4 linked regions of the Tamandua tetradactyla genome follow. The protein of the gene in region 3 interacts with the protein of the main gene of each other region in a pairwise test. Links are inferred from orthologs where the notes say so. Each region holds a gene or a part of one and is shown on either strand. Other genes may lie near its edges.

Region 1 (7,709 bases), on a different chromosome or scaffold from region 3:
GGTTCGTTTCCCAATGCTTGCCCATGCAAAAAAAAGATGATGAGCCCCAGGTAGATTTATACACTACACTATACACATCAACACGCACATCCAGAACCAGTGAAGAAGTAATGTGCAAAGTCTATGCATCACCTTGTGGTAATCCTTGGGAAGTGTAGCATCCCCAGCATCCTGAGAAAAAAATGCGAGCTGCACCTCAGTTTGAAAAAGGAAATATAGCTCCTATCTACAAAGGAAATAGAGCATACCAAATTTTGCTTCCTATTCTGTAAAGTACCTCTTCAGACACATGAGTAGATTACAGCGGCAAGCCACAGATAAGTAAAAAGAAAAAAAATCCAGTTAAGAATTAAAGGAACAGATACATTTGGCTGGGAAATAAAATCTGAAATGCATATATATATATGCGGCTACAGTGTCCTCGTCCAGGACTTACTATATTTCCTCAAGTCCTAACACCTCTAGAATTCCTTCAGCTGTGTTAGGCCACAAACTAGGTATTATAAAAGTCTTTAGTCTAAAATTAAATTTTGTTATTCTGAGAACTCATCAATCCTTAAAAAAAAGTAATATGCAGTAGTCTCTAAAATAAATTTTGGAGTCACGGGTAACATTTCAAGGTTGTTTTACTTGCTTCTCTTTCAAATATTTCAAGCCCAAAATAGATCTGGCTTTTGTGGCAGGTTTTGTTCCCCCTCACTGTGGTTTCTGATAATTATTTTACCTGACTAACCAAAACATGCAAGCCTTAGTCAACTAATGTTGAAAACAGACTTGAGAACCTCTGTGCATTAAACATATAAAGTCAAATTAAGTTTTTTAACTTAAATAAATATTTTCTATAATTTCAGTCCCAACAATTAGGACTAAAGAAGCAGTAAGGTAATTTTGTTAGGTCTGATAACGAGATTGTGGTAATTTGATATATCAAATCCTCACCAATTAGAGATGCTAAACTAATTATAAGAGAACTGTCCTTATGAGTGGGATTTGCTTTACAAACTCCAGGAGAGGGGAAAATAAATGGTTGGAGGGGGTAACAGAACAAGACTAGCAAAATGTTAATCTATATTATTTTTAGCTCTCCTTCTGTATGTGTTTTTTCTGTGTGTCCTCAGAAGCACTGTGATTCAGGTAGTCATTGACAAAATTAGCGAAAGCTTTGAGAATCTCGGGTTTGGAAATTATGAACCTTTAAAATTACGTCAAAATTTCAGTTCTACAGGACACAAAAACATCTAAAAAGGTGGGAAATGTCTGACACTTTGATAATATTTCAATATTTGAATGCATACAGAGTATCAACTGGTTTATAGCTCACTACTCCATCTGCCAAACCGCATTCCTGCAGATTCCCCATTTCCAGAATCCTTTACAGCTGAGTGTCATTACACTCTGCCCATGTGTCCCGAACACCAGTTATATTTACTTTTAAAAATTTTTTTTAAAGTTAGTTTCTAAAATGCTACGAATGCCCCACATATACTTGAGAGGAGGGACTTTCTATTTTTTACTAAAGATTTGGCCCAAAATAAGCTTTAATGAGCAAAAAGTGCATAAATCCCAAGTTTTACTTAGTAATATCCAAATTCCAAAAGAATACAATCTAATACACTCCACATCTGAGTAATTCCCCCAAACAGGTAATGAAGGAGCACTGTTAGGATCCTCAAAACTATTTAACATTATTTAAAAGACCGAACTTAAAGAGTTTCAAAATACCTGTTACTTTTGTTACGGGGAGAGTATTTACTGGATAACTCTACACAACTGTGATGTCTAGAATAGGATGTTCTTTGACATCTGAGAACCACATTGGGAAAAAAAAAACCTTAAGTCAAATTTAGTGTAATTAAGTAATCCTTCAAGAAATCAGTCTACAAGTTCAGATAAAAACATCGAAAGCAAGTCTGGCCTCAACCCCTTCTCTATAGCCGAAAAGGGCTTTGAGGGCAAGCAGCCCACCTTTAGACCAAAAGGGTGTAATATAATTTATTAACAGGGTGATGTAGACAAACACCCACATACCAGCTAAGCTCTAACAGTGGACTCGAGAAAGCATAGCTCCGGAACTCTTAAGACACGGTCGGGACTTGTTCACCACCCGCGGGGGAAGGAAGGAGAGTTGTGAAAACAAAGAAAACTTTGACTAGTCAAAGGAAGATGTGACTGTCCTCTAAAGACTTTTTTTTTATTTATTTATCTCTTCGAGTACTGGGAGATGAGGGGTGGGGGAATTCATAAGCAGATTTCGAAATTCTGTAGTCCAGGTGAAGTAGATCCGGACCGAACAGCTAACCCCGCCCGCGGCCCTACCGCGTGGGCGGTACAGGGGGAGTCTCCGCCTCCTGATCCACGGGTGACTAAAAACAAATTCGCGAGTCTCTGCCGAATCAAAGGCGGCGTCCATCCCAGACCTGACTTAGATGTTATCCCAAGCTTACCGATACCGGTAGCACACACAAGCCCTCAACACAGCGTCATCCTAGAGTTGATCCTTGGACAGCATATTTTTTTCTCCAAGAGCCGCACAAGTCACTTGTCCCGACCAAAGGGCCCACGTCCCAAGTCCCAAGGCCTGTACGCTGGCCTCCCCCGCCGTGGAGGGCGGCCACTCAACGCTTTTCCAACTCCACTGCTAATCGAAATCGCTCACACACCCCGTCACAATCACAGTCCAACAGAAAAATGTTTGTTCCCGGGAAGAAAAGCATCGTCATCACAGAGAACCAGTTCCCTGAAAGCTGCCAGGCCCCTAGCCTGCAGGGGCTGAGGGGCGTATCGCGAGTCCCAAAGGGGTTCCAGCTGGAGTCTGCCCCCGCAAAAGTCGCTGGAGCGGACGGAGAAGGGCTTACCTACTGAGGGACTCCCGGGCAGAGGAGGAAAGTTACAGAAGCTTCCGAGCCAGAGACGCCATCAGGGGCCGAACCTCTTCCGCCAACAACACCTCCCTCTACAGACTAACAACACTTCTCCTCAAAGCCCAGAGCCGGCGTGACATCACTTCCGCCCACGAGGCCGTTCCTTCCGCTGCTGCGCGGTACGTCCGGCCGCCATGCTTCGAAGCGGAGCCAGCTGTTTCAGCCTGCAGGGCTGCTCGGCCTCGGTTCTCGGTTTTACAACTTTCGTTCAGAGGTTCACTTCAGAAAATCAGGCTCCGTTTTTAGCATTTGCGGGTTTTTTTTAATTAGTGTTTTAATATGCGAAGTGGGGAAACATACTGGAAAATTAAGTTAGCGAAATAAAGGGTTACCCAGAGGTATGTGAGTTATTGCCTGGATCTTAAAACTCTGTCTAAACTAATTCACTTATAGATAAGGAGAGAGAGAATGACAGAGGTGAAGAGAGCGACCGCACATCTAGGGCTATAACCCCTGTGGCTCTCCCTCAACCCCTGCTCCTGTTTCTTGAACTACCAAGTTTTGTTAAGCGCTCCCTTTCTCCGAGGAGCTATTTCTCTAGCTCCACTGGCCTCTTAACGCCCACATTTCTGTAGTAAACTGTTTTTGTTATCTGTATTATTTTGTGTGCGAATTTTTTCCTATGTTTTGTTAAATTATAATTGCCTTATATGATGTCCTTTAATCGCTTTTTAAACTTTTATCTTCCCTTCCTATAGTAGGCACTCAGATTGAATCCTAACTCCGCGGAAGCAAGTGTGCCTGTCGGTACTCATCATATTCCTGTATTTATTTCCATAAACACTGAAACAGTGTACAGTATCACCAACGAAGAGAGGATGACAAATTAGACCGCATTAAACGTTGAAGCATCTGCTAAATAGAAAACATACACATTATGTATTTGCATGTAATAAATTTTCTATTACCCATTTTCAGTTCATGAAACCAGAAACCAATATACTTAATAAAAACCACAATTCAAAACAACACTTTTGTGAAGGAATTTTTGTTTTGTTTTGTTGTTTTTAATAATAATGTCTAAACAATTTTAGACCTTGTTTTCCCCATGAAGTATTTGTTTAGCTACTTTACTTTGCTTTATTCCTTTTAATAACAAGTCCTTGAATTTTTAGACCATGTTTCTCCCATCAAAATAAATACATAGCCTCACAATATTTAGGTGAATTTTTTTAATTAGCCTGTTAACAAGTAGGGCAGTGTGCTAGTGACTATAAGAGACATGGGGCCACAATTCTTATGTGAAAGTCTTGGGCCAGGTGTAATTCAGAATTTTTCAGGCTTTAGAAAGGTATATTTCGCATTATGTGACACTCCTACAGGGTCTAGAGGCAACACCTCATAATCAAATTAATGATTTTTCTGTGAAAATTGTAAGTATCAACTAAGGATAAATTAAGACTGTAAATAGTCTGCCTTCAGTTCCAGTTGTTCAGATCAGGTTTTACAACTTTACCACCATGTATTCAAATTAGATCAAGTTTTCTTGACAAATGAGTTCAGGCCACAGCAAATTTTGTCTAGTGAAGAAACATTTGATTTTCAGAGCTTTTTGGATTTCAAAATTGTGAATAAGAATTGTCGACCTGTTAAAAAAATTATTGGAAAAGGTATCAATCAATTTTTCTGGAGTAATTACAGTTTCAAGTAGTTTCTAGCCTGTTGTCCTGACCTGTTTCAAACTACCTATTGTGTGTTTTGATTAGGAAAATAGCTGACCATATCTATAGGAACAGTTCCTCTCTTATAGGAACTCATGATAGTAAAGGGAAGAAAAGAAATTAATCCATGAAAACCTAGGTGACTAAAGTAGAAATAAAATGCTTCAGAGGTAGGAGAATCATTACAAGCTTGTGTGAGCAGTGTACTTTTCATAGAGGAAGCAGGCCTACACTGTTAAAGTTAGGCAGGGATTTGATGAGGTGATAGGAGGAGGAAGACTTCCCAATTATGATGGGCATAGGAGTTAGAGGAGAGTTAACAAAAAATAATAATTCCCATTTATGAAACATATAGTGCTTTCCAAGCACTGTGCTTGAAATTTGACTTATATCGTCTCCATTCCTTGCAGCAGCCCTGAAAGGTAGGCATTAGCATTGCAGTGGAGTGGAGCTCAGAAAGGTTATATAACTTGCCAGTGATCACAGAATGGGTTACCCAGACTGGAACTCATTTTTGTGACTCCAAAGTTCATGCATTTCCTACTATGCTCTGATGCTTCTTGATGAGTGCTTTTTTGGTCATTTACTTTCTGTTTGGTTTGCTAAAGTTGCCAAAATGCGCTCTACTAGAAATGAGTTGGTTTTACAATGGGGATTCATTAACTTCGAAATTTACAGTTCTAAGACCATGAAAATGTCCCAATCAAGGCATCATCAGGATGATACCTGGACTCTGACGACAGGCTACTGGCAATTCTCAGCATCTCGGCCAGCATGTAAGGCACATGGCAGTTCTGCTGGTCTCTCATTTCTCTTCTGGGTTTCTTTTCTTTAAGCTTCTGACTTCTCTGTCTGTGGCTTTGTTTCTCAGCTTTCGTGTGTTTTTCTCTCTCAGCTCTCTCTCTCTTTCCTCTTTCATGCTTTTATAAGGGGCTCCACTAAGACTATTAATTAAGACCCACGTGGGGCATACCTCAACTGAAATAACCTAATCAAAGGTCCCAACCACAATAGTTCTATACCCACAGAAACAGAGTCGCTTTAAGAACATGATCTTTTCTGGGGTCCATAAAACCTCCAAAAAAATCACACTGTGTGGTCTCAACTTGTGCTAGGTGCTTGAGGAAAACAAAAAATAAAGCATGGTTTCTTACTCAAAGCTACCAGATACCTCTCTGATAATACAAGATGATGTCATTAAGTGTTAAATGTATAGGAAATGGACTGCAAGAAGTAAAGTAGAAAGATTGATGCAGAATTATTTGGGAATTACTGACAATTTAAAAAAGACTGGACTCTAAACTTTGAAATATTAACAGAATTTGAAAAGGTGGAGAAAAGGCTTGCTGGGTAGTGGGAGGGTGGATAATGTTATTAGAAGGGCACAAATGAGGCAAATAAGTGGTACAGCATGGGTTAAAAATTAGAAACTAATTCCAATGGGCCTGTTATAGAAATATTATAGGTTTTAAAAGCCAAGTAAAATGAGTTGTTTTCATTTTTTAGATCAGAGGTTTCCCTTTGAGTTTGTATTAAAGATTCCTTTTGCTACAAATGATTCTTTCCTTTTAAAGTAAAACATATTTAGAAAAAAGCACCTTTTTTTTTTTTTTTTCTTTTGCCATGGGCAGGCTCTGGAAATCAAACCCGGGTCTCCAGCATAGCAGGCAAGAATTTTGCCACTGAGCCACTGTTGCACCACCCTAGGGAAAAAGCACTTTTAAGGATGGGATTTGAATAATGGTAGGCTTTTGATAGAGAAGTCACTATAAACAAGGTTATTTATTTTCTCTTACTCGTGTGTTAGGAGAGGGTATGGATGTACTCCTTGTTCCTTATAGTTTATTAGCCACTACTCTCCCAGATGCTGGTAGAAGGTTGCTTCTTTGATTAACACGATTCAGTTTTATTCACCTTTTCCCTTCTTGTTGCTATCATCTGCTGATCTCCACAGCACTTGTCCTCATTTATGGAAGACTATCACCTTATGAACAGTCTTATTCTTCATTCCAGGCCCTTCAGGATGAACGTTCCAACACCCTGGCCTTTTTATTTCTTGAATCCCTTGTCTTCAGTGATCTCCACTCCACTCCAGATACCTATATTCCTGTTTGTACCTTGGACCATAACTGTTCCACCTTCAAAATCAAGCATCCTACACCAAACTAATGCTGATGAGAAGATTTTCAGCTGTTCCAACTTCCCCTCTGGATACCTTCCCTCTCAACTTAAATGAAGTAGAAAGTTTTATGCCTATCAGGCAGGGCCTACACCCCATGAAAAGTCAGAGCAGCTATAGAAGACAGACCCTCATCCTTCAGCAACCCTTAAGATTAAGAGGCAATATCCTTTAGTGTGCCGCTCCCCACCCCCCACCATCATTTCAGGATGAAAAAGTCAGAATACGTATTGCCCAAAGATTCGTATAGATTGGGAGAAGGACCAAAGGAGAAGGAGGAGGTATAGCGAAGAGAATAGGATTTAACAAATGAGTATGACTGCTGAATCACTATATTAATATTCCTTCTAGCTTCCAGTGTCTAAAGTAGCTAAAAGGAAAAATCTGAGATGAGGGAATGGTAGCCCATGACAAACTCTGGGATTTGTTCAGTAACTACTTGTTGAAGTGTGCCTTGAAAATAATTTTTTCTTTCTTTGCTGTGTATATATGTTATATTTTACAATAAAAATGGTTTTAAAAAAACAATGAGCTCTTTATTCCTAAAGACCACTCTAATATCACAACTTAATTGTAACAATTTCAGAAAGTGTTTTATTAATGATATAAAATATAGCCTACCTGTGTGTTTCAGCTTCTTTTTCTTTTCCCATTTGTGTAGGATGCTTTTCTGCTTTAATAAAATTTCTAATCTTTAAAAAAAAAAAAAAGATTAAGGTGAGAACTGTCTCACCTTAAAATTTAATAATCTTATTTATTTTAGTAAAAAATAAAATTTCTAATCTTTAAAAAAAAAAAAAGATTAAGGTGAGAGAGAAGGGAGGGGGAAAACCCTGCATGGAGCCCTCAAGCAATGATGGTAAATCAAGATCAGGAGGACCAGTGTCCTACACAGACAACCTGCCTGCAGCTACCCCTTACAGGAAACGCCCAGTGGCAACTGACTCT
Region 2 (7,361 bases), on a different chromosome or scaffold from region 3:
GAAAATCTGAGAATAAGGAACTGCAAGTAAATGAGAATCCTCTTGGCAGAAAACCGTGTTATTTAGTTATAATTTGCGTTGGTTCCCAAAGGAGATAAGGCGGTTACCAGGACTCAGGGTGGTACTCGGTCTTGATGAACGGCACCCGTAGAGGCTGTAACAATGGGCATTTAATTTACTTAGTCATTTCTAAATAGCAAAATACTTCCTTGTGGAACAGTATGCCTTACATCTACTAACCTTTGATTTAATATTATGAATTCCACTACAAGATAATTAAGACAGGGTTATGCAGGGATGAGTCTGGCCCTGGGACCATGGAATCAACAATGCCTTCCTGACCAAAAGGGGGAAAAGTAGTGTAATAAAATAAGGCATCAGTGGCTAAGAGAGATCAGATAGAGTCAAGAGGCTACACTGGAGGCTGCTCTTATACAAGCTTCAGTTAGAGTGCAACTGCCATTGTTTGCTAAACCCCAACTGACATCACTTCTGTTTATACTTAAAAACACGTAGGGCTCAAAGTGAGACTCTTATAAAAGTATCCTGCACTATGTTTGCTTTCCTGGAACCTATAATTCCCAAAGGGTTCCTAGGCCAGATAAATCCTGAAACCCAGAGGGCCCAGCCTCTGCAAGATCATCAACTAATTACATGCTCCTATCCTTTAGTGTTGATACCCCTTCTCAACATGAAAAAGTCAGCATGGGCATTGCCTAAACATCTCTATAGACTGGTAGAAGGCTTAAAAGAGGAGGGCACAGTGCAATGGTGGCTCAGGGGCAGAATTTTCGCCTGCCATGCCAGAGACCGGGGTTCGATTCCCAGTGCCTGCCCATGAAAAAGAAGAAAAGAAAAAAAGAGAAGTCATAACAGAAAATAGGATTTAATAAATGAGCATGCTGAATCAGAATACCAGTATTTCTTTTGGCCTCCAGTGTTTTGGAGCAGCTAGAAGGAAAAACCTGAAATAGTGAAATGGTAACCCATAACAAATCCTGAACTCTGTTTCATAACTACTTGTTAAAGTGTACTTTGAAAATTATTGCTTTTCTTTCTTTTCTTTGTACTTGTTTCACAATAAAAAACATTTTCAAAATATAGGGTTGTGAAAGCTTTAGGAAGAGGTTAAAATTGTAATTTTTCTGCACAGTGTACTTCATGTTGGAGACCCTAATAAGTAGCATTTAAAAATTAAAACAGGATACATGGTGTCTTAAGAGGACTTGAGAGAAAATAATCGTTTTATTGTTTTGAAAGTATGGTTAGCGGTGATACAAGTCCACTAATAACATGAGTGCCACACTGACAGAGTAGAAGGGTTACATTCTATGTTTTCTGCAGGTTTTCCCTTATCAGGGGAAAATAAAAAGATGTGCTGATGATTGCAAATTGAAAAAATGAGATGACTGCAATAATTCTAAAAACGCTGTATCTAAAGAGCTGTAAACATTGTTGACATAAACAGTGCTTTAAAAAAACTCACTTAAAATGAACTTGCTGAAATGTAAGACATAAACACTTGAGCTTACAAAATTTTCTTTTTGCTTTGAGAAGTGAGGGAGGAAATGAAATCTTGTTAGTTTTAGAGTAAGAGTCAAATGTAGAAAAGGATATTCTAATACCACACCATAGGTATTTGCAGAATTTATCACCTCCACTCTCTGTAATAAAATACTGAGCTGGCAGTCTTCAATTCTAATGTGCATCAGTCTTGCCTTAAACATTTTGTTCACCTATCTTCCTCCATCCTTTTGCTTCCTTGGGGAACAAATAGTTTCCTGACCACTTGTGCATTCTAAAAGTCCTTGTCTAGGTAGTTGGATAACTCGTATGCTCAACTAAAAAACCCCTTTTCTCTAGAGGAAATACCTGTTTTTTTCCCCCCAGCAATTATCTGGAAGTTCCAAAGATAATGGCTTGTACTGGGGGTTCTAGGAACACTTTGTATTGACTGATACTTTATCTGGTAATGGGTTACTTACTATACTCCGGGCCCTATACTTTGGTCTGTTTCAAATGTACAGTCTCTGTATTGAATTCAGTCTAGTATTGCTAGTTGACAAGTAATACATAACGAGGCCTTTACGTTTCAAGAGAATTAAGTTCGATCTCTGCTAAGAGATGAGATTTTATGTGGATATGCACAGGAGTCTTTTAGCAACAGTTACTCAAAAACGCAGGCCCCGACTCTCAGTATTCATACGATTTCCTAAATATGCCCTTCCGAGAAATGTATTTCAACTTTATTCTAAATAAAATGCATTACGCAAAGTCAAGAACAGCCGGCCTGAGTGGGGGGTACAGGAGGTGGCAAATGGCACGGGTTAGGGTCACCAACGAAGCCTCCCGGGTTGAAGACGCCTTCCCAGGGGCGGCGCGACCCTAGGCTCCCCACGGCAGGGGCCAATGTTGCCCCCAAGGCAGTGTCTAGCCCTGCCGAGCAAACCAGGGCCGGGAGCCGGACAGGCGGCCCGTGGGCGGGGTGCGGGGGTCCAACCGCGACGCCCCGGACCGCTGAAGGGCGGGGAGGGCGCTCTCGCTACGTTGGCCCCTCACCTTCCACACCTCCAGGCGAGGCCCGGTTTCCGCACTTTCCTCCGATAGTTCCGGCATCAGCGCCGCACCCGGCAAAGCCTAGTTTAGAAGGGCGCCCCCGAAATAAAGCAGGCGGAAGGGTGCGCGGAGGCGGAGGAGAGCAGAGCGCAACCGGCAGCCGGCGCCGCGCCGAGCTCACCCCCGCGCCGGGTTCCGCGAGCCGGGCGCGCGCCGCCCGCCTGCTCCCCCTGCCCCGGCTCTCCTCCCCGCTGCCGAGTCGGAGAACGCAGCGCAGGGCAACCAGTTACCTGCGGGAGGGTGGCGGGGGCAGGCGGCGGAGGGTCTTGGCTCCGGTCCCCCTGTTGACACCAACCACCCTCGCCTCCCCCGTGAGGCTGTGGCCACTACAAGTACAATCTGCTGGAGTCTGTTGCCTCCGACACCATAGAGATGGGCCCGGAAGCGGGACAGATGGCCAACCCTCACACCCCCGACACCAGCACGGAGGCGAACGAACCCGGAACCGAGATAGAGCGGCCGCAAAGGTGATTCTTAGACAGGTGCCATCTTGAGTACGGGCGCCGGTGCCGACCCTGGTTTGTGCACTTCCTCCGACAGCCTAGTTGGTCTGTGAAGATTTCTGCTCTCTAGGCCTTCAGGTGACTGCACAAATAAGTCTTGATTTTTTATTTTTAGGGATAACCGCGCCGTTTTAATTTTATTTCCGCCCTAAACAAATATGGCTACCAGCCTCCTTTTACAAATAGCAAAGGGGCGGAACGGAGAGGGGAAAAAAAATAGAAATAAGGAAATTGGCGATGATTGGCCGCGCTGCGTGGGCAGATACAGCTGTAACTGACAGAGATCGTGGGGATTCCGGCTGAAACTTAGAGCGTCAAATCACTCTTAATTCAGCAAAAAGTGAAATTGGGAATATTCATAGTACTTAATACTATTGAGAATTAAGTGAATATACGTAATGGTTTAAAAACAGTACACAGTAACCACTCAATATATGATCGCTATTTTTTCACGATCTTTGTAGTCGTCATTACTACTACATAATGCTACTACCGCCTTAGAGTTGACAATTGGCCTAAATCAATTGTTCATGCACAACTTTTAGATCCTTTCTGGTGGATAACGTTGCTGGGTAAGTTTCAGCTAGATAATTTCTTCAGTAGATTAAATGAAAACAAATTTCAGCCCAAATTTGCCTCTTAATCAGAAATGTATTAAACGAATATTTATTAGAAGATAGTCATGATAGTTAATTTAACCGAGTTCTCCATCCTATAGAAATAAAATGTGGGCCCTATGTGTAGTTTCACATTTTCTAGTAGCTGCACTAAAAATAATAAAAAGAAAGAGGTGAACAGTAAAAAGAAGTTAATTTTAATAGTATATATTAAACAATATATCCAAAAGATTATAATTTAAACATGCAATTAATATAAAAAATCATTGATGAGATATTTTAAATACTTTTTTGGTACTGTCTTCAAAATGCAACATATATTTTTACAATTTGGACTAGCCACATTTTAATGCTCAGTGATCAGGTATGATTAGTAACTAACATATTGAAGAGTTCAGTTCTAGGTGGTCTGACCACCACCTCCATTAGAAAGTTCAGAAGCAGAGGTAGAGTGCTGTAGAGACAACATCCTAGCACCATCATAGCCAGCATCAACATCCAGCAACCAGAAATCCTCTAGACTAGTGTTACAGCTAAGTCCATTTGGAGATGAGGCCTTGGATGGAATCCCTAGTGGAAAAAATTCTTAGACCTTGTTTATTCAAGAATGGAGACCATTCTATAGACTATTTTAGTGAATCCACATTACTTTTCATTGAGACCCCATTCCTAACTTTTATCATGATAATTAAGAAGCTGCTATTTTAACCAGTAAAAACCCATTTCCTACGTTTACCATGATATATAGAAAAACATTTGGTGTCATCAGAGGTCAAGTTGGTTGAAGTATTTGTAGACCCACTTCCAGAATGTAGCCTTTCCGGTATGATGCGCGCTAACGTCCCCTGGAGTGTAGATTCCCGACTACTGGAATGCAGGTTGCTCGTAGGGCATAGCTTCAATCAATTAAACCACACTGAATATTACGCTGTTGATAAGGAAGTAATTTGAAGTCAGTCACAAGCATGATGACACCCATATGGATGTTGTAAGGAATACTGGCCTACTTTGCAAACACCATACACATTTCTCTTGCAGCTTGATGTTGGAATCTGTGTTTATTCCACAGATATTTAATGCATACACTTTTTGTGTCAGGCACTGTGCTACCGCATAAGAAAAGAAAGGGAGAAGACACAATCATGCAGAAAATGGGGTTCTTAGAGGGGTGCAAATATGACTTAATTTTTTTTTTAAGTGATTGGGGATGTTTGAGTAGTTTATCCCGAGGCATTTTATTTTGGTTTTGCAAAGTGCCCTGCCACACCACCGACATAGAAGTTCTAAGCTAATGTGCATGGTGCTGGATATGAGCTAAATGTCTCTACACCTTCCTGATTCTCCTCACGCTTCTTTGACAGTTAAAAACTATGTGCTAGCTTCTGCTCTTGGGAACAGACATTGGGGTAACACACTGGTGAACAAAAAAGACAGTTCCCTGCTCTCACATCTCAGTTGGGAGCTAAGGGAAGAGATAGATAATAAGCATATAATTGGACAAAGATAAATTCAGATAATGGTAAATGCTATGGAAAACAAAACAGGGTAATTTAGTAATAATAATAGCAGCTAACACTTATTGAGCACTTATTATGTGTCAGATACTTCGTGTGTGCTAATTCATTTAAGCCATATGGCAACTCTGTTTTACTGATGAGAAAACTGAATTGCAGAGAGGTTAGGTAAGGGGTACCACAGTCACACAGCTGGTAATGATAGAGAGAAATTTACCTACAGATTCCATGTTCTTGATCGCTATGCCTTACTATCACACTGCTGCGATAGCAACAGGATGGGAGGGAAGAAAACAGGGGAGGGAAAGGTAATTCTACTTTAGAATAGAATTCTAAATAGGACCAAATAGGACCTCCAAGTAGGACCTCTCAGAAAAGGTGATTCTTGATCTGAAAACTGAATGACAAGGTGGGGTCAGGTAAATGAAGATCTATGGACAAAGCATTCTTGACACGGAGAACAACTGCAAAGGTATGTTTAAGGAATAACAAGAAGGCTGGTGTGGCTGGAGTACACTAAATGAAGGAGAGAGTGGTTTTTGAGGAGGCCACGAGAAAGCATTCGGTAGTATTTAATATTTTAAACAAGAGAGTAATACCTGGCTTACAGTTCAAAAAAAATCACACTAGCTATTATATGGAGAATTGATAATAAAGAAGTGAGAATGGCAACAGGCAGACCAGTTAAGAGACTTTTGCATTAGTTTATGCAGAAGGTAATAATGACATGGACTAGGAAAGAAGGAGTAGAGGTGGAGTTAGGTGGACAGAAACATATTTTGGTAATAGAATCAGTGGGATTTGTTAATAAGAAATGAAGTGAGGAATCAAGTTTGCTGCTTTGTTGTTTGGCTTCCACAATGGGGTGCTTGGTATAAACCATACAGGTTTGTTCCACATCAATGCGCAACTATCAGGTCAGTTGATGGATATAAAAGTTTGAAGCTGAATGGAGAGTTTAGTCAGGAGATATAAATTTAAGAGCCGTGGATTCATGAGGTCATAAATGTTGTGTCCTTCAGCTTCATCATCAACACTGAGGAAAACAATTAGAGCACAGTATATGAATAAATAATCTTTAGAGATTACTTTCTCTCTGTGCAAGATTCTTTGCCCATTATTCAGTGATATGCTGATAAATGTTTAACAACTGCCGCTGCAGGGTATTTTGTGTATGAGTTAAGAACCTTCACAGCGTCAACCCCTGGTCGAGGTCTTGACTTCTAGAATTCCTGGAGCTCTCCTGCATCTGGCCGCGAACTCCCAGGGTTCTTTTGCATCAAGCTTATTAAACTATCTAGATGTACCCACTAGTCTTTGAATTTTTTCCTGTGACTGAGTCCAGAATCCTCATGGCGCCAGCCCTTGGTTGAGCTCTCAGTTTCTCCTAGAATTTCCAGGCCTGGCCGGCATCAGTGGTGTAGGGCTCTGGAACACAGTGGCAACTCAGTAAATATATTTTAATGAATCCATTTATTGGGAGGCTGGTATTTGAGCCAGGCTTCTCCTTTGCCTCTTTGCCTCACATTGTCCTAAATGTCTCGCCCTCCTAATTTTTAATCTACGCACCTTTATATCTCTCTGGTTCTGGTTCTGAGACCCCTGGAGCTTCTTTCTGAGCTCTTTATGCCTTCTTCTTTCTTTTGCAGAGCAGTCTTGCATTCTCCACTAATCCCACACTACTCATTTCACATATGCCCATGGCCAGGAAAGAAAAGTCTCCAGCAATCTGGATGCACTCTCCTTTGTATATGGCCAGTCAATTATAAACAAATAGTTTTTTTTCTATTACAAATAATTTTTCCCTGTGATAATTTAAGAACCAACTTGAATTTTACCTTTTATCAGTGCTCTTCCTAACTCAAATCACAATGTGCCAAATATATTATATTTAGTTTAATTTTTAGATTGTCTTTTGGTTAATTTCATTCATGTTTCTCACTTAGGCTCCCAGATGAGCTGTGAGCATCTTGGAGGCCCAGCACTCCTGATACTTCAAAAACATTAATCACCCAACTTGAACTAAAATTTCACAAGCTCTTCCTAAAAACCAATAAGGATAGTAAGAATTATGGCATTTCCATTTAATATACTACTTCAATAGTTTGTAT
Region 3 (7,779 bases):
AAAATTAAAAGGAAAAAGTAGGAACAGCTTCATGGAGAGATCAGTGAAAGGCCAACAAATGAGATGGACATAAGACAGCAGAGTTAATAAAATCAAAGGGGGACAGCGAGACTGGTATTGTGTCTCCCCCAAACTCTTGAGCTCCTATCAATAAGAGGTGACCACAAAGGAAGGAAGGCAAAAAAATAGAGCAGCCTGCAAAGGCAGGGCAGGAAATCATTAAGGCCTTGATTTAGAGTAAAAGAGTTTAGGTTTGCAGGAATCCCAACTTATTTCTCACTTACAGTGGACCCTCAGGCTTAGAAGCTTTGCTTCTTTAGCCTCATCTATTAAAGATAGCTAATATTCCATTGGGTTGTTAACAAATTAAAAAAAGACACATTCTGCAGGCTCTTAGTTTCCTGTTGTCACAGGTTTGCAATACACTGTAGCTATAAAGGCAATTTCAAGATCCCATGAGCTCCTTCCTTCCAAGGTATAAGCACACCTATTCTTCTCAATGGTAGCTATAAAAAGATAGTGACCGGGTCTAAATCCAGGTTATGCGAGCAGCCAGGGAATGAGATTACTCGAGTAACACCTATGGTCCAGCTGGGAAGGGCTTTAGAAATCATTTACTGGAACCCTACTTTCCCATAAATAGGGTCACTTGAGCACAGTGAGATTTAGGGTGTTGACTGAGAATACAGGGAATTCCTGTAAAGCCAGAACTACAACCCAAATCACAGTATTAAGAAAGCATATAGCTCTTCTCCCTGCGTCACAACTGCAGGAAAGAGGGCCATCCACTGAACCGGTAACAAGCGGTAGAGGTCTGGCACCGGTTAAAACATAACTAGAAGAAGCCAGAGAGCTGAGCCAGGTCCATGGTGACTTATTTATTATCACAAAGTAAAACATTTACAGAATAAGAACAGGTGATCATATGAAACATGAGGGGTAGATGATTGAAATGGGGAGGGCTTAATTTTGAAAAATTATAGGGGGATTTTAACTAGCTTTAGGAAAAGGTACATTTTAGAGTTTGTAACTTAGGCAAAACTATTGGCATAGAGCCTCGTATTTAGTGACCCCTGAAAAATTGGCATTCTGTTTACCGGCTTACTTTACCAGCACCATACTACCTTGTGAGCTCTGGAAGGTACAATGTGAGACACACAGTGTGCACTTAATTCTAGTTAACAGAACTGTATTAGAAATTGAGAAACAATTGGAATGGAATCCTGACCAGTAACAGACCAGCAATTTGCAAGCTTCCTAAGTTACTTCATTTCTCTGATTGATCTGTAGAATGGTGGTTATACCACTGTGAGGACTAACTGAATATAGAGAGCACTTAGAAGACAGCCGGGTAAGAGATAAGCCATCAATAAAGGTGAACTGTCATTTTTTAATACTTCTATCAAAGACGGAGATTAGAATTAGGAGAAGCTTTTAAAACAGTCCCCCCAAGGTCCAGACAGCAGGAAAGTGATTTGTGAAGGACTCTTTCCTGAGTTATTACTCAGTAGCACCCAATTTCTGGGAATGGAAAGGCCTTAAGGGCGCCTCTTCCTGATAGGAAAAGGACTACCAGGGGTTTCTACTGTTGGGCTAGCTAAGGCCCAACTCACCTCTGGTAACTGTAAAACAATGAAATTGAGGTTAGGACTGTAGACTAGGTTTAAGGAGAACATGCAGGTCAAGAAAGGACATCAGATAATTGCAATTCCTTTACTTATACATTACATGTAAAACGTCTCCCACTGTCCCTGCCTGAAGGTGGCAGGTAAAGAGCACAACCTTAAGGTCGCTGCTCCTCCATCTCCAAAATCTACCACTCTTCTTCCTCCTTCCATTCCGGCTGCGCAGCCTGTATTCGAGAAAAAAAAAACAGGCAAGTGGGCGGGGGAGGGGGGAAACGGGAAAAACACCCGGATGCTGAGGGATGCCTTAGTATTTCTCTTCCTCCTCACCGATCGCATTACTTTTAACTCCACATGCCAGGTTCCGCAACAGAGAAAAAGAGGCTTCGGTCCCGCTTTGTTGTGTCCAGGTACAGTCTGATCAGAATTAAGTAGCGGAGGGAAGGCTGGCCTTTCCCCACACAAGCCCCTGGAGCCAAGAATAATGAAGCAAGAGGGCTGCTGCGCAGAGAACGTGACCTTGTTTTCCCCGCCACGTCCGCCTGGTGGTGCGCTCCCCTTACCGCCCCCTTTCCTAATGATAAAACACAAGAAAGAATCCACTGGCTTCCCATTCTTTCCTTCCCAAGCCGGATAAAACGAAGGTTAAAGCCAACTTCGCTGCTCCCGTAACAATATCCCTGCGCTTCTAAAGGCTGGAAATCAAGGGCCCCAACCTAATCACTCTCGCATACAGGACCATATTTTGTGCACATGTCGGCCTTCGTATCTGAATAATGCTGAGTCACTCGAGACGTAGGCTCGGCTCCAAAGATGCGATCAGCTGTAAAGATGGAAACGGGCCCTGGGGATATAGGTTTTAAAAGGTCGGCAGTCTGAGTGTCCACTGGCTCCGAGACCAGCGAACGGCGTCGAGGGTTAGTGATTTACAGGGACCTCGCGTCTCCCTCCTCGGCCTGGGGCAGCGACGCTTCACCACAGCCACGCTCGCCCCGGGAGCTTCCCAGTCCCCTCCCCCCCGCTCCCATGACACTCACTGGGACCCTGTCCGGATATTTCTTCCGGATCTTTTCGCCTTCCTTTTTCCGATACTCGAAGGGATGGTCCTCCTTATACTGGAACTTCATGATGGACCGCAGGGTTTCTGAGATCCCCGCTCGGGCCCTGCCTCCCTGGCTGATGGTCGCGTCTCTCGAGAATCGTTTCCCTGTGCCAAATTTCACTATAAATCAGGATCGCTTCGGAGACGCCAGCTCCCGCCGCAACACTTGGCAGAGCGATCGGAAGGGATCTATGCTCCCTTCGCCTGGAGCTAGGGGACCGCCAGAACAGAAATCCCGGCGGCTTTCCCGAAGGGCACGGGACGCAAAACAACTCTGCGGCGCGTCGGTATTGCGACGTCACGAAGTCCCGCCTCTCACCCCGCCCCAGCGTCCCGGACCTCCAGGAATAGGGGTGGACATAAGAATTGTCTGTTTTAGTGTATTTTTTTCCATCTAAATTTTTCCTATCTGGATTACATAGCGTAGCTAAGACAGTTTTTCTTATTGTTTTATTGTGACTCTCATACTGACCGTCGTTTTAAGACGAAACGAAAAGTGTGTTCTAAAGATGACTTCTTCCCTTCCCCCCGCTGCCTCTTGGTAGGGCCCCAAAACGAATAGAAAGGGCTAAAATCCAGCCTTTTCCAGCGAGCTGGAGTCAGGAAAAAGAGGGAGGGAGGGCCTGGCATCCCATTGGCCAGTGCAGATGTGTCCCGGGTTTGCCTTTTGCCCTTTGCCCATTTAATTGGACCTGCCTGCGTGCTAGGTTGGCTTCCTCCCACCAGGGCCTCTCCTCCCTCAGGTTCGCTTCAGTTTTGATTGGATGAATGCCACAACTTGCTCCTAGAGTGGCGACAGAAACAGAGCGTGACTCAGGAATTTGAGATGTGTAAGATGAAGGGCATGAAGTACAACCTAAATCCAGGGAAGAGGTGATGCCGGCAATAACTACTAAGGGCTGCACGCATGCCCCAATACAAAAGTGATGCACTTTCTCTTACAACCCAGAATTGGGCCCGGCTTCAAGAAAAGAAAATTTCAGCCAATTTAAATTATTCGTTTAGTGGCTCTCGAACATTTCTTTTTTCCTTCTGCGAAAATTCATTTAAAGGATAGTACGGGTTATTTGTGTTTCAGGGGAATAGGATGAGACAGGAGGAAGGATGGTGGAAGACTGGGCTGTGAGGCAGATGCGAGTGGCGTCTCCAGAGGGAGAACCAAAGGCCTAAGACTTTTCCACCTGCTAGTGAAGGCGGCTATTCCTGGGATCCGTCGCACCGGTGGGGGGGTGGAGGAAGGCGGTGGTACTTGCAAAAGATAAGGAGTGAGGAAAGTATGCTTTTCTCTGAAAGAGTCTAATGAGTTATATTTTTAAAGTTATTTACAACGGCAGTGTAAGGAAGAAGTTAAGGTGAGAGCATGACTGATTACTGAATCATTATATAGATATTCCTTTTTACTTGCTAGTGTATTAGAATAGACAAAGGGAAATACCTGAAATCTCTGAACTGTAATCCAATTGCCTTAATTTCTGATAACGATTTATTTTATGACTAAAAACCTTGTGACTGACCTTCCCTTATACACCCTTATCCTGTGTTTCAACTTTAGAGCCTTATGATCACTAAAGATAGCCCCTAATGTTTATCAGTGGAACTAACCCGCCCAATTCCAAGGCTGTCTTGATAAATAGAGCTGAATCTAAGCAGCCTATACCTCAGAATACTAAAAATCACACCCATCAACGTATTAAGGCAGCCATTTTCTTACATAAATTCTGTGACTAAGCATGTAAGCAATCTGTGCATGCTCTATAACTAGATCATCTCCAGTCACGTGCTCATTATCTTAAAACCAGCTCATCATTTGACACTATAAAACGATCAGAATTACTGCAGCTCAGGGAGACCAAGTTTTTAGGCCCCCAGCCCATCTGATCTCCTGCTTCCTGCCTAGCAATAAACCCTCTCTTTGAAACTCAGGACTTGGTCATTTGAGTGCTTGGGGCAGAGAACTCACTGCTTTTGATGGCTTTATCATCTATATTCTGTTATCAGGGTTCCAATGTCTCTGATTTTAAAAAACAAACAAAACTAAATTTTATCATAGAAACAAGGAAAATGAATTGGAGCCCTGTAATTAAAAATTTAGGATTTAAGGAATGATTTTGACTACTGAATGGTTACATAGATATTCCCTTTTGGGGGGGGAGGGGGTGCTTCAGAACAATTGGAAAAGGTCTTTGCTTTTTTTCCTAGAGGCAGCCCTTTGGCAATTTTCTGGGGCCTTAGGGAAATTCCAAGGGCGGTTTCTTTCAGATGGCCAGGTTTGCTTATAGTAATTACAAAACTAAGATTTTGAATTTTGCAGTTCAGAGAATTTTTTCTCCTTATTTACTGTTTTTTTCTTTCTACTTCAGAAGAGTATTGATTTATATAAAATATGTTTAAAAACTACTTATTTCTTAAGCATTTCCAGTAGAGCTTTCTTAAAAAAAAAGTTTTGTTACTTTTTTTTTACATTTCAAGTTATAAAATAATGCAATGAACAGGCAGACAGACACAAATAGAAAATTAGTTACACAAGAAACAGAAACACAGAAATACATTTGAGAAGGCCAAATAAAGACAAGATAGAGCAAAGAAAGCAGGGTTAAAGCTTGCTATACCTTCAGAATTCTAAGGAAAATGAATTCCAGCCTAGAATTTCATACCAAGATATATTATCATTTAAGTGTGAGAGTAGCATAATGCATTTTTAGCCTTGCAAGCTCTCCTAAAATTTACTTCTTGTGTGCATATTTTCAGTAAGCATGTCCAAAATGAGGGAAAAAAACAAGGAGAAGACACAAGGTATATGAAACAGGATTTAACAGAAGATAGGTCAAGGTAATCAACAAGATAAAAATGGTTACCACTTATTAAATACTACATGCTTTACATACGTATGTGTTAGCGCCCATAATCCTCAATAATATGAGATAGATGTACTCATTTTACAGATGAGAAAATTGAGGCACAGACTAAATCAAGATTGGAAAGATAATATGGGGCAGAGCCATTCTTTTAAGCCATAAAGCCTTATTTCAAACTCTTGTTAGTGCCCTCTTTCCTGCTTCCCATAATACTAATATAATCAAAATTATGATGTAACTATATTTAGAAGCTGGAAAAGGGGAACAAGAAATGCTCAGAAGTTTGATGGTAACAAAGGTGAGGTGGTGGTGATAAAAAAAAATTAAAAGGCTGAATTCTCAACTTTTAACAATGGAATGTCAATAGTTTATGCCCCAAATAACTGAAAATAAAAATCTAGAATTGAAACATATGCATAGAATCTGTAGAAGTGTCCATTAAATAAATCAGCTAAAAAGTAGGGGGCAGAAAATATGTGTGTGTGGTGAGAAAGTGCTATTTTTCTTCACAAGCCATATAGAGCTACTTAACTTTATAAAATCACACATTTGATTAAAAAGAATAAAAATTAAATTGACTGAGAAAAACCCTAGAATGAGCTGAGAATTAACATCAAGGGATTGAGAGAACCTTCTCGGCCAAAAGGGGGAAGAATGAAATGAGACTAAGTATCAATGGCTGAGAGATTCCAAGCAGAGTCCAGAGGTTATCCTGGAGGTTATTCTTACGCATTAAGTAGATACCACCTTGTTGTTCAAGATGTAGTGGAGAGGCTGGAGGGAACTGCCTGAAAATGTAGAGCTGGTTCCAGTAGCCATGTTTCTTGATGATGATTGAACAATGATATAGCTTTCACAATGTGACTGTGATTGTGAAAACCTTGTGTCTGATGTTCCTTTTATCTAGCATATCAGCAGAAGAGTAGAACATATGGAATAAAAATAAATAATAGAAGGAACAAATGTTAAAATAAATTTAGTTTGAAATGCTAGTGGTAAATGAAAGTGAGGGGTAAGGGGTATGGTATGTATAATCTTTTTTTTCTGTTACCATTTTATTTCTTTTTCTGTCTTTTTATTTCTTTTTCTAAATTGATGCAAATGTTCTAAGAAATGATGAATATGCAACTATGTGATGATATTAAGAATTATTGATTATATTTGTAGAATGGAATGATATCTTAATGTTTTGTTTGTTGTTAATTTTTTAATTAATAAAAAAATGAAAAAAATTAAATTGAAAAATAAAAGGGTTTTTCAGTTTGGTGTTTGAGGTGAGGAAATTGACTTTAGAACGTAGCCCAGTCACTCAGCTCTGGGCAGGTTATATTACTTCCTTGAAGCTCGGGGAACAGAGTTTGCAGAATTAAATTAGGTAATATACCAGATGCATAGTAGCCATTCAAAAGGTTGTGATTACTCATCCATTATTTGAATCTTGATGAGCTTTCATCCTCTTTGAATTGATCTGCTTTGGTATTTACTGAGGAAAACATAATCAGTTGAAAGGTGACTACACAGATGCTGAAATACATGCTTTAAATTTAGTCTGCCTTATTTCGTAATGTTGCCTAGAACTGGGTTTTTATCCTAAACATTATAGAATTGTTGTCAGAGGGGATGGTTCAGTAACTCTAATGGTCTCGCTGTCTGCTGTCTTTTTCTCCTTTTATTCATCTAGTGATATCCAAGGTATTTTTCAAGATACATCACATCATCTCCTTTCCCCCTTGAAACACTTGCAGTGCTTTAATTGAATGTAGGATAAAGTCCAAACTACTTAATCTTACACATAAGCCCTTCCATAAAAATACACCAACCTATATTTCCATGTTCATTCCTATTATATCACTCTTGGAATTTTTACCCTTCTCCATGAGGCGCATTGTCTTTTTTCCCTATCTTCACTCATAGAAAGAATACCCTTTTATTGTGTCTTTGGCTTTTAAAAGTCCATCATCCTTTAGGGTTCAATTCCAACATTGACCATTTTCATGACAATGTGTCCAAAATATTAAAGTTATAAAGAATTTTGAGGTGGGAAATAGTGCGACTCTGGGTTAACCAAGGTGAAGGAGCCAAGGGAATATTGGCCAAGGTTACTCAGAGAGAGAATGTCAAATATTTTCCACAGTTGAAATCCCAGTGCATCTTGGACAATCCATAAATCACTGAAATTGTTTTCCAGTCAGTCTGC
Region 4 (7,504 bases), on a different chromosome or scaffold from region 3:
ATTCCTGGCTCTTCCTCCTCCCTGAGTTCCAAATTCTTTCAAACCACAAGTCTTGCAGACTTAATTTCCTAAATGATTCTTGAAACTATCATCTCCTCCCCATCTTCTCAGCAAGTGCCTTGTTTGGGGTTGAATCACTTCTCACTTTGATAATCCTGGCTCCCTCTTCTTCTGAGGCCCAAATCCAAAATCTTCAGCATATTTGACAAGGCCCAGTGTGGGACCATCTGTTTTTCTATCTTCTGTTGTGCTTCCCTTGATTCCCAGGCTCCGGGCCCTTGGCCTCCTTTCAGTTCCACAAATGTTCCTGATGTCTTCCCACCCATGTCCTTCACATAGGTGGTTGTCATGGTTGGGTTCATGTGTCAACTTGGTCAAGTGGTGGTACCTGTTGGTCTGGTTGGGCAAGTGTCAGCCTGTCTGTTGTGATGAGGACACTTCATAGAATTAAATCATGATCAGGTCAGCTACCTCCACAGCTGATGCCATTTGTAATCAGCCAAAGGGGCTTGTCTTCTGCAATGAATGATGCTTAATCTGATCACTGGGAGCCTTTTAAGGAGGATTCAGAAGAGACAGGCTCTTCCTGTTTTGGCTGGTAAGCCTCTCCTGTGGAGTTCATCCAGACCCTCCATTGGAATCGTTGGCTTCACAGCCTGCCCTGCGGATTTTGGACTCTGCGTTCCTGCAGTCATGTGAGACACTTTTATAAATTTATATTTGAGTGTTCCCTGTTGATTCTTTTTCTCTAGAGAACCCTAACTAATACAGTAGTCTTCTGTGTAGAATGGCCCCTTTCTTTCTCTTCGCCCCATAACCATCACACAATCTCTCCAGCTTCAGTGTACCTTGTGCCTTCATACTGAGTAAGGGTCTCTGCTTCAGGGCCCCAACAAAGATGGGCAGGTTGTACACTGCCTAAGTGGTCAGTGTCTGACAGGATGTCCTTATGCCAAACCCAAGGCAGGCTTGACTATTTATTATGACAGCTTTCTCACAGAGAGGAATGAAGCTTCTTGAAAAAGGGGAGCTGTTTTACTAAATACTTGCCCTTTCCTACATGGTACTTACCAGAGTTGAATGTATTTAATTGTTAATTGATTAATTATATCATTTTTTAAAATGTAAGTTTGGTCTCTCACACCAGATTGGACATCCCACTTAGGAAGGGGTTTCATCTGTCTTGTATATTGTTGAAACCTCAAGGCCTGCCTTTGAATCTGCAACTTGGGACCCTCGAAAATATCTGATGACTAAGATGACCTGGTTTAGTAAGGCTTGTGCTGCCTAAGTGAGTTGATCACAGTTTGCAGGTGGCTTATCTAGTCTGCATAAGAGAAATGCCAAAGGCTTTGACATCACCTCCCTCCCCACAACAATGCTTCTTAGAAATAACCAAAATACATTTTAGCTTTGAGGTGATTTACTTATATCTATAAGCACAGTGCTTGCCATTGAGGAGGATATATGCTTCATATCAGTGTATGCCTAGTAGATAATGTTCTAGCAGTCTATTTTTTCTTCCTATTTTGTACACTTTTATCCAATATTATAATAAAATCTCATATTCCCAGGAACCTGGCTGCACACAAGCAGCTGTCCTTTGTGTGTAAAAAGACTGGCCCAGTTCCCCTGGAAATCAGCATTTGGCAGGCTTCTCACTGCTTTGCCCACTTCTGCTTCACTTTATTTCAGCCATTATATTTTTAAAACCAAAACAAAACTAGGGTGTGCTCTAATGAAACAAAATGACTTTTATCATACTCACTATTGCTTTACCTTCAAAAGACTGTCTCAACTAATTCAGAATGATAAAAATCAAAACATCATATTATAGTTTTAAAATCCCAGTCTGCATTTGGCATCCTGCTTTATAGTTAGAGAAGTATTTTCTCAATAAAAGCCCTTTGTATTTACATTCCTGTGAAAGGGAAGCTGAGAGTTTGCACTGTATGACTTCTATCAATTTGGAAATTTCTTTAAAGTTTTCACCTCCTTAAATTTTACCTAATTCTTTTTAAGCCATTTCCTTTCCTTTCTTCTTTTCTGTTCTTGCTAAATAATCCCCATCCTATAGTTGCTTTGTCTTTGGGGGGAGAGCCCCTCTGTATTTGTCCCCTGACTTAAATTAATTCAGTTCAATTGGCATATGACAGGAGCCAGAAACAGTGTGTTTGAGTCCAGATGAATGTTTCCCAGCTGTGTGAAGCACCTGTATTCTAAATAAAAACCCAACCAATGTGATAAATGCAAAAGGTGGATGGAGAAAATAGACACATTCTAAAAAGTCTTCAGTGCATGAAATCATAGATGAATAGATAGAGAAATGGATAATTCTGGACTCTGACATACTATTCATACAGCCCAACAATTCATTTATATTCCCCTTTTATTTTCCTCTCTGACTCAGATATTATTCAATTTTTGTAAACTTCAGGCAAACATTGTGCGCTGGGTTGGCTGGTAGTATGTGGTCATGGTGATAGGTAATGAGCCTCCAGACATGCAGAGAAGACTGAATTTGCCATCTTGGTAGAGTGGGAACCTACAGATGCCAGAGGCCCCAGCAGTCCCATGTTCTGCTAAAGCACAATGTCACCTTCTAATGAAAGTTTGCAATCAGACTTAAAAGAAAGTAACCAAGAAGAGATAATACTAACTTGTAAAACTTTTTAGGTGTTCAGAGTTAAAGGGGTACTGTTCTGCAAAGGGAAGCTTTCCTTTTGCTCCTCAAATTCCACTGCTCAGAAGTGCAGCGTATTTTTAGGGTTGTGGGAAGACTCTCCTTTGGGATTTCAGTATCCTGAAAGAGGTAGGAGCCATATTTTGCCAGTCAGTGGGTTGGTCAGCTTTACCAGGCATCATGGTGGCATGTACATGAGCTGGTGGGGAGAAGTGGAGCACCAGTGTTTGTCCAGAAGCACGTTGTAAACTAGGGTTCCTAACCCTTGGTCTCCTGCCTCCTACCTCCAAAACCTAAATGAAGACAGGGAAATTATTTAAAACATCTGAACTCTTTCGTTCAGAATCTACACTCTGATGGCTGAGCCCTGGCTCCTCAGTTCGGCTCTTTCTGCCTCTTACCCACAGGTATGCTGGGAGTACCTGTCACACCACAGGGGCCTCAGCTCCTTCAGCTTACCTTTGGTTTTTCTACCTCAGGCCCTTGCCACGCTGGTCCCTTTGCCCTGAGGGCCTCTTGCACCCAGCAGAACCGGACAACCATCCTTGGACTCGCAGAACTTTGGAAAGAAATGGCCGCGACTAAACTTCTCTACCGGGCTTCAGATTCTTGTGGAAAGATAAAGAAGAGCCTGTGGTGATGTATGGAGAAGGGAGAACATGACAGCCGCAGGGAATTAATTTAAGAGGAGTCAGTGTTACCTACTGGCACCGGGTTAGGAACCTGTTCTACTCTTCCTAGGGTACGACCACCTGCAGTCTGCAGCCCCCGGTCGTCCAGGCAGGCAGAGGAAAAGGAGAGGCACAGCATGCACAGAAAGAGTCTATTTAGGTGTCTTAAATCACCAATATTTTCTGAGCCGGTCTTATTCCAACAGGATCATTTTGCCTGCTTTATTTGGATAGGGCATTCAAATAAAGCCAGGGCTTTCCCTGGTACCCCAGAGCAATGGAGTCCTGAGACCTACGGCTACACTAAATTCTAGCCACACTAGTAATAATGCAAACACATACTACTAAATAGAAAATGCCCGCGCCGATCTTACGCTGCGCGGAAAGCTGCTGGACCACCCGCAAGCGACCCCGAGCGGCGCAGGACGCTGCGGACCCCGGCTGCAGTGGGCGGGGCGGCCCCGGGGGCGTGCCGGGCGAGTTCCCCGCCCGCTGCCCGGCGCCGCGGCCCAGCTTCCGTCGCGCGCCCGCCCAGAGCCACCACCAGTCCCGCCGCCAGTCCCGCGAGGCGCGCGCGGAGTTCGGAGGCCGTACTGAGTGCTTCTGAGTCCTCCGGCCAGAGTGTGGACCCGGCTTGGGGCTGAAAGCCGGCAGGAGCAGCAGCTGCGCGGCGACCTCGAGGACCCAGCGGTCCCGGGGCGTGTCCGGAGCGCGCGGCTCGGGACTGGACGGGGCGCCTCCCTGGACTACCCCGCGCGGCGCTGGGAAGCCAGAGGTGAGCGCCGGACCTTGGAGGCACAGCCCTGGAAGCGCGGGCTCTGGGTTCATGGGGACTCAAGGATGCCCTGTCCGTTAAGGGCTCGGGCTGGCAGTCTGGGGTAGTATGCTACCGGGGGACCGTGTTTAAGGGGGGTGGCGGCATTTCGGGAGCTGGGGTGAAGGAGCGAGCGCTCTCCCGTTTGGTGGCCGGGAGGGCGGCTGGAGGCCGGTCTTCCTTGTCTGGTCATAGGGGCTGAGCGTCCCGGGTCTCCATCCGTAGGCTCTAGCTGGCCCGGGAGCGGAGAAAGTTTGCCCAGCCCGAACTCCCGCTCTCCCCAGTCCCGCAGGGTCCGCCCTCCTCGCCCTCTAGTCGCAGCCGCCACCCATGGAGTCTCCGGTGCAGATCTTCCGCGGGGTCCCGGGCCCCTCCTGCGCCCCGAGCGCCTGCCTGCTCCCCAACAGCAGCAGCTGGTTTCCCGGCTGGGCCGAGCCAGAAGGCAACGGAAGCGCCGGCGCCGAAGACGCGCCGCCGGAGCCCGCGCACATCTCCCCGGCCATCCCGGTCATCATCACCGCCGTCTACTCCGTGGTGTTCGTCGTGGGTTTGGTGGGCAACTCGCTGGTCATGTTCGTGATCATCCGGTGAGCTCGGGGTCCCGGCGCGGTGGGGGCCGGCCCGGGCGCGGAGGGCTGTGGGGCAGCCCGCCAGGTAGTAAGGGCTCCTCCAGGTGCAGGGTTCCCGGGCCATTCCAAGAGGGTGGCCTCTTAGAAGAGGTGAACGATTTCCTTGGGGAGATTTTCGGTGGGTGGCTTCAAAGTTCGCACAGAGGAAACCGAGCAGCCAGAGGCGTCTGGTGGGGGGTGGGGAGTCTCTGGAGGCCCATGGCCTCGCCGAAAAACTCGGAATGGGCAGGGAAAGGTACCAGGTGTGAGGCATCAAGGTGAATTTTAGGGTCTCTTGAAAATGATACAAATTCATTTGCATGGACTTTTGCCTGGTTGCCTGTGCCATTTTGGCATACTTTCTTTCTTTTTCTTTTTCTTTTTTTTGCCCTTTGCAAATATTTCATAAGATAAATTTCAGGCCCACTGAATGCACCGAAAGCAGGTTAGAATTTCCTGTGACTCATCAAATTGATGTAAAGGCTTATGAACCCTACTGTTTAGGGTTGTTGATTCTGATTAGTACTGAAATGCCGTCTTGTTTGTTTAGAATACCAGTGACTTTTATAACTAAGCCATTGCATGCTTTTTCTCTTAAAATATTGACTGTGGAGGTTTACAAAAATTTCTTGGATTTTATTTTTTTACCCCATGAGAAATTGAAGCTTGCGTTGTTCTTTTGTGGAATTTTATTGCTGCCAGGTTCCAATAATGAATCTCTCTAGATGTATCCACATACATGATAATTTTCTGCTTACTAAGGTTCTGATTTTAGACACTATCAAAAAAAAAAAAAAGTAAAGGGAAGAATTCTTAATTTTGGTGAGGCATATGTATGTCAATTTTGGGAGATATAATGCTTTAGAAATGCACCCAATGAGAATGAAGAAGCTGCTTTGAGAAGTTCCTGTGAAATAAGGAAAAGATGTCCCTGTTTAGGGCACTGAGAGGATGAAGAGCTTATTTTCTTAGTCTGACTCTAATTTTAAAACAGCCCGTTGATTTATTGTGAAATTTAAGAGCTGTTCCTGCAGAAGCATCAATCTTTCTCCTGGGAAATCATCATCACAAAAATACCCATTTATCTTTTTTCTTTTTAATTGGAAATATCAGTTTGTCCCCCCTCTATGTTCTGAAATTTAAAACCATAATTTTAGCCTTCAAGTGCACATTTTAAAAGCTCGTTTTCACCTACAATTAGTGTTTGTAGCTTGGTATTCTTGGTTTTCATAATTATCACATATTACAAGAATTTGGTCAGTGGTAAGTGAAGGCTGCAGAAGGGGGAACATTTAAAGAGCAAATCATTTGTCCAAGTTAATATTAATCTCAGGGTTGATCTTCATTAGAGAGATTATAGAAAACCAGAAGACAATGAAAGATATCCATAATTACAGTTATTATAATATCTTTGGTACAGAGGCCTTGTAAAACAAAAAGTGTTACACAAAAGAGGATGCTGGGAAGAAAACAACTCTCTTCACCCTCGTCTCATATTTGGGTGCTTGTTTTTGGGTGAACATCAGAAGTCTTAAGTTCGTGAATAGTTCTTAGTTGCTCTACAACTTTTTATATGGCCTTGCAGACTAATGGAAGTAAGAATTTTCAAATATATTTGGGAGACATACATGTGAGGGGAAAAGGACTCACATGTATATGTGGACTTTTCCTTTTACCATAGGACTTTTTATGGTAAATAGAGATACATATATGCGCATATATGTACATAAATCCAAATATATCCAGAATCATATTTTGCTAGATGAGACTAAGTTCAGCTAAAACTACAAAATAAGTTAGATAAAATAATGGTCATAAGAATATCCTCCATCTTCCTATCCCACTCATGTATTTAGAGATTAAGTTTGATAACAAATGTAAGGAAAGAGTTATACATTATCCTGGAATACCAACCTACTGAGATGGCAGTTCATTTAAACCCATAGCTAAAAAGGTTAGGTTGTAGTTGGAATGCATTAGGATTGATAGATGGTTAATAAATTGAAACATAAAATTTCAAAAAAGATGTTGAAGGATTTGCATTTATTTAGCTCTGGAGAAGAAAGAACTGGAGATTCAAGGGAAAATAGGGTGGGGAGGGCTGTGGTATGGCCATCAAAACTGAGAGGAGAGTGAGGGGCATGGGATTCGAACTCAGCTTCATTGAGGGCTGGGTAGCATTTTCTGAGAAGCTAGGGGATCATTTTAGAGAAAGATTCTATCTTAAAATGCTATACATGAGAAAGGGTCTTAGCTTAGTTCAGTTTTCTAGAAAATCATTTTATAAGGTGAAGGTCTGGGATGCCAGAACAGATCTGGGGAGAAAGAAAGAGCTGTGGGAAAAGCTGGTACTGTTTTTAAGTCTGCCTTTCAAATGGATCTTCCTGTTTCACATGATTGGAAGGCTACTGGGTGTGTCCTGGAGAGATTTAAGGGTTCAAGGGTTCTCATCATTTAAGGTGGACCAACTGTCATAATTCTCTAATAATATAGGGGCACATGGATGTTTCACTGTGAACATTTTAAGATTTTAACTACTCCAGCCACTTCTATTTCCAGGCTTTGATTTTTATGGCCCCTGGGTGAGAAACTCTTCTTAGCCCTTGAGTCAAGTCCTTGACTTCTTTTACCATCTTTGGTATACCCATGGGTGTATTCCACTAAGGACCCCAATCTCACAGTTTTGAAGTCCATCGTGTGTCATTTCCACTCCACACCAAACCCATAC

Evidence for each region.
Region 1: the proteins of GABARAPL1 (region 3) and TAX1BP1 interact in binary tests that used the Homo sapiens proteins (3 or more experiments, as listed by UniProt). The link is inferred for Tamandua tetradactyla from reciprocal best matches to the Homo sapiens genes GABARAPL1 and TAX1BP1.
Region 2: the proteins of GABARAPL1 (region 3) and SCYL3 interact in binary tests that used the Homo sapiens proteins (3 or more experiments, as listed by UniProt). The two-hybrid records come from large-scale screens. The link is inferred for Tamandua tetradactyla from reciprocal best matches to the Homo sapiens genes GABARAPL1 and SCYL3.
Region 4: the proteins of GABARAPL1 (region 3) and OPRK1 interact in binary tests that used the Homo sapiens proteins (3 or more experiments, as listed by UniProt). The link is inferred for Tamandua tetradactyla from reciprocal best matches to the Homo sapiens genes GABARAPL1 and OPRK1.

The regions. Positions count from the first base shown.
Region 1 is NC_135327.1:95,382,545-95,390,253, forward strand, and holds the start of TAX1BP1 (tax1-binding protein 1), read right to left. Parts: upstream 3,007-7,709; 5' UTR 2,856-3,006; intron 1-2,855.
Region 2 is NC_135330.1:23,700,803-23,708,163, forward strand, and holds the start of SCYL3 (protein-associating with the carboxyl-terminal domain of ezrin), read right to left. Parts: upstream 3,007-7,361; 5' UTR 2,847-3,006; exon of another isoform or gene 2,793-2,846; intron 2,751-2,792; exon of another isoform or gene 2,560-2,750; intron 1-2,559. UniProt on the Homo sapiens protein: May play a role in regulating cell adhesion/migration complexes in migrating cells.
Region 3 is NC_135333.1:72,652,257-72,660,035, reverse strand, and holds the start of GABARAPL1 (gamma-aminobutyric acid receptor-associated protein-like 1), read right to left. Parts: upstream 3,019-7,779; 5' UTR 2,753-3,018; coding exon 2,663-2,752; intron 1-2,662. UniProt on the Homo sapiens protein: Ubiquitin-like modifier that increases cell-surface expression of kappa-type opioid receptor through facilitating anterograde intracellular trafficking of the receptor. Involved in formation of autophagosomal vacuoles.
Region 4 is NC_135332.1:96,695,561-96,703,064, reverse strand, and holds the start of OPRK1 (kappa-type opioid receptor), read left to right. Parts: upstream 1-4,498; coding exon 4,499-4,755; intron 4,756-7,504. UniProt on the Homo sapiens protein: G-protein coupled opioid receptor that functions as a receptor for endogenous alpha-neoendorphins and dynorphins, but has low affinity for beta-endorphins.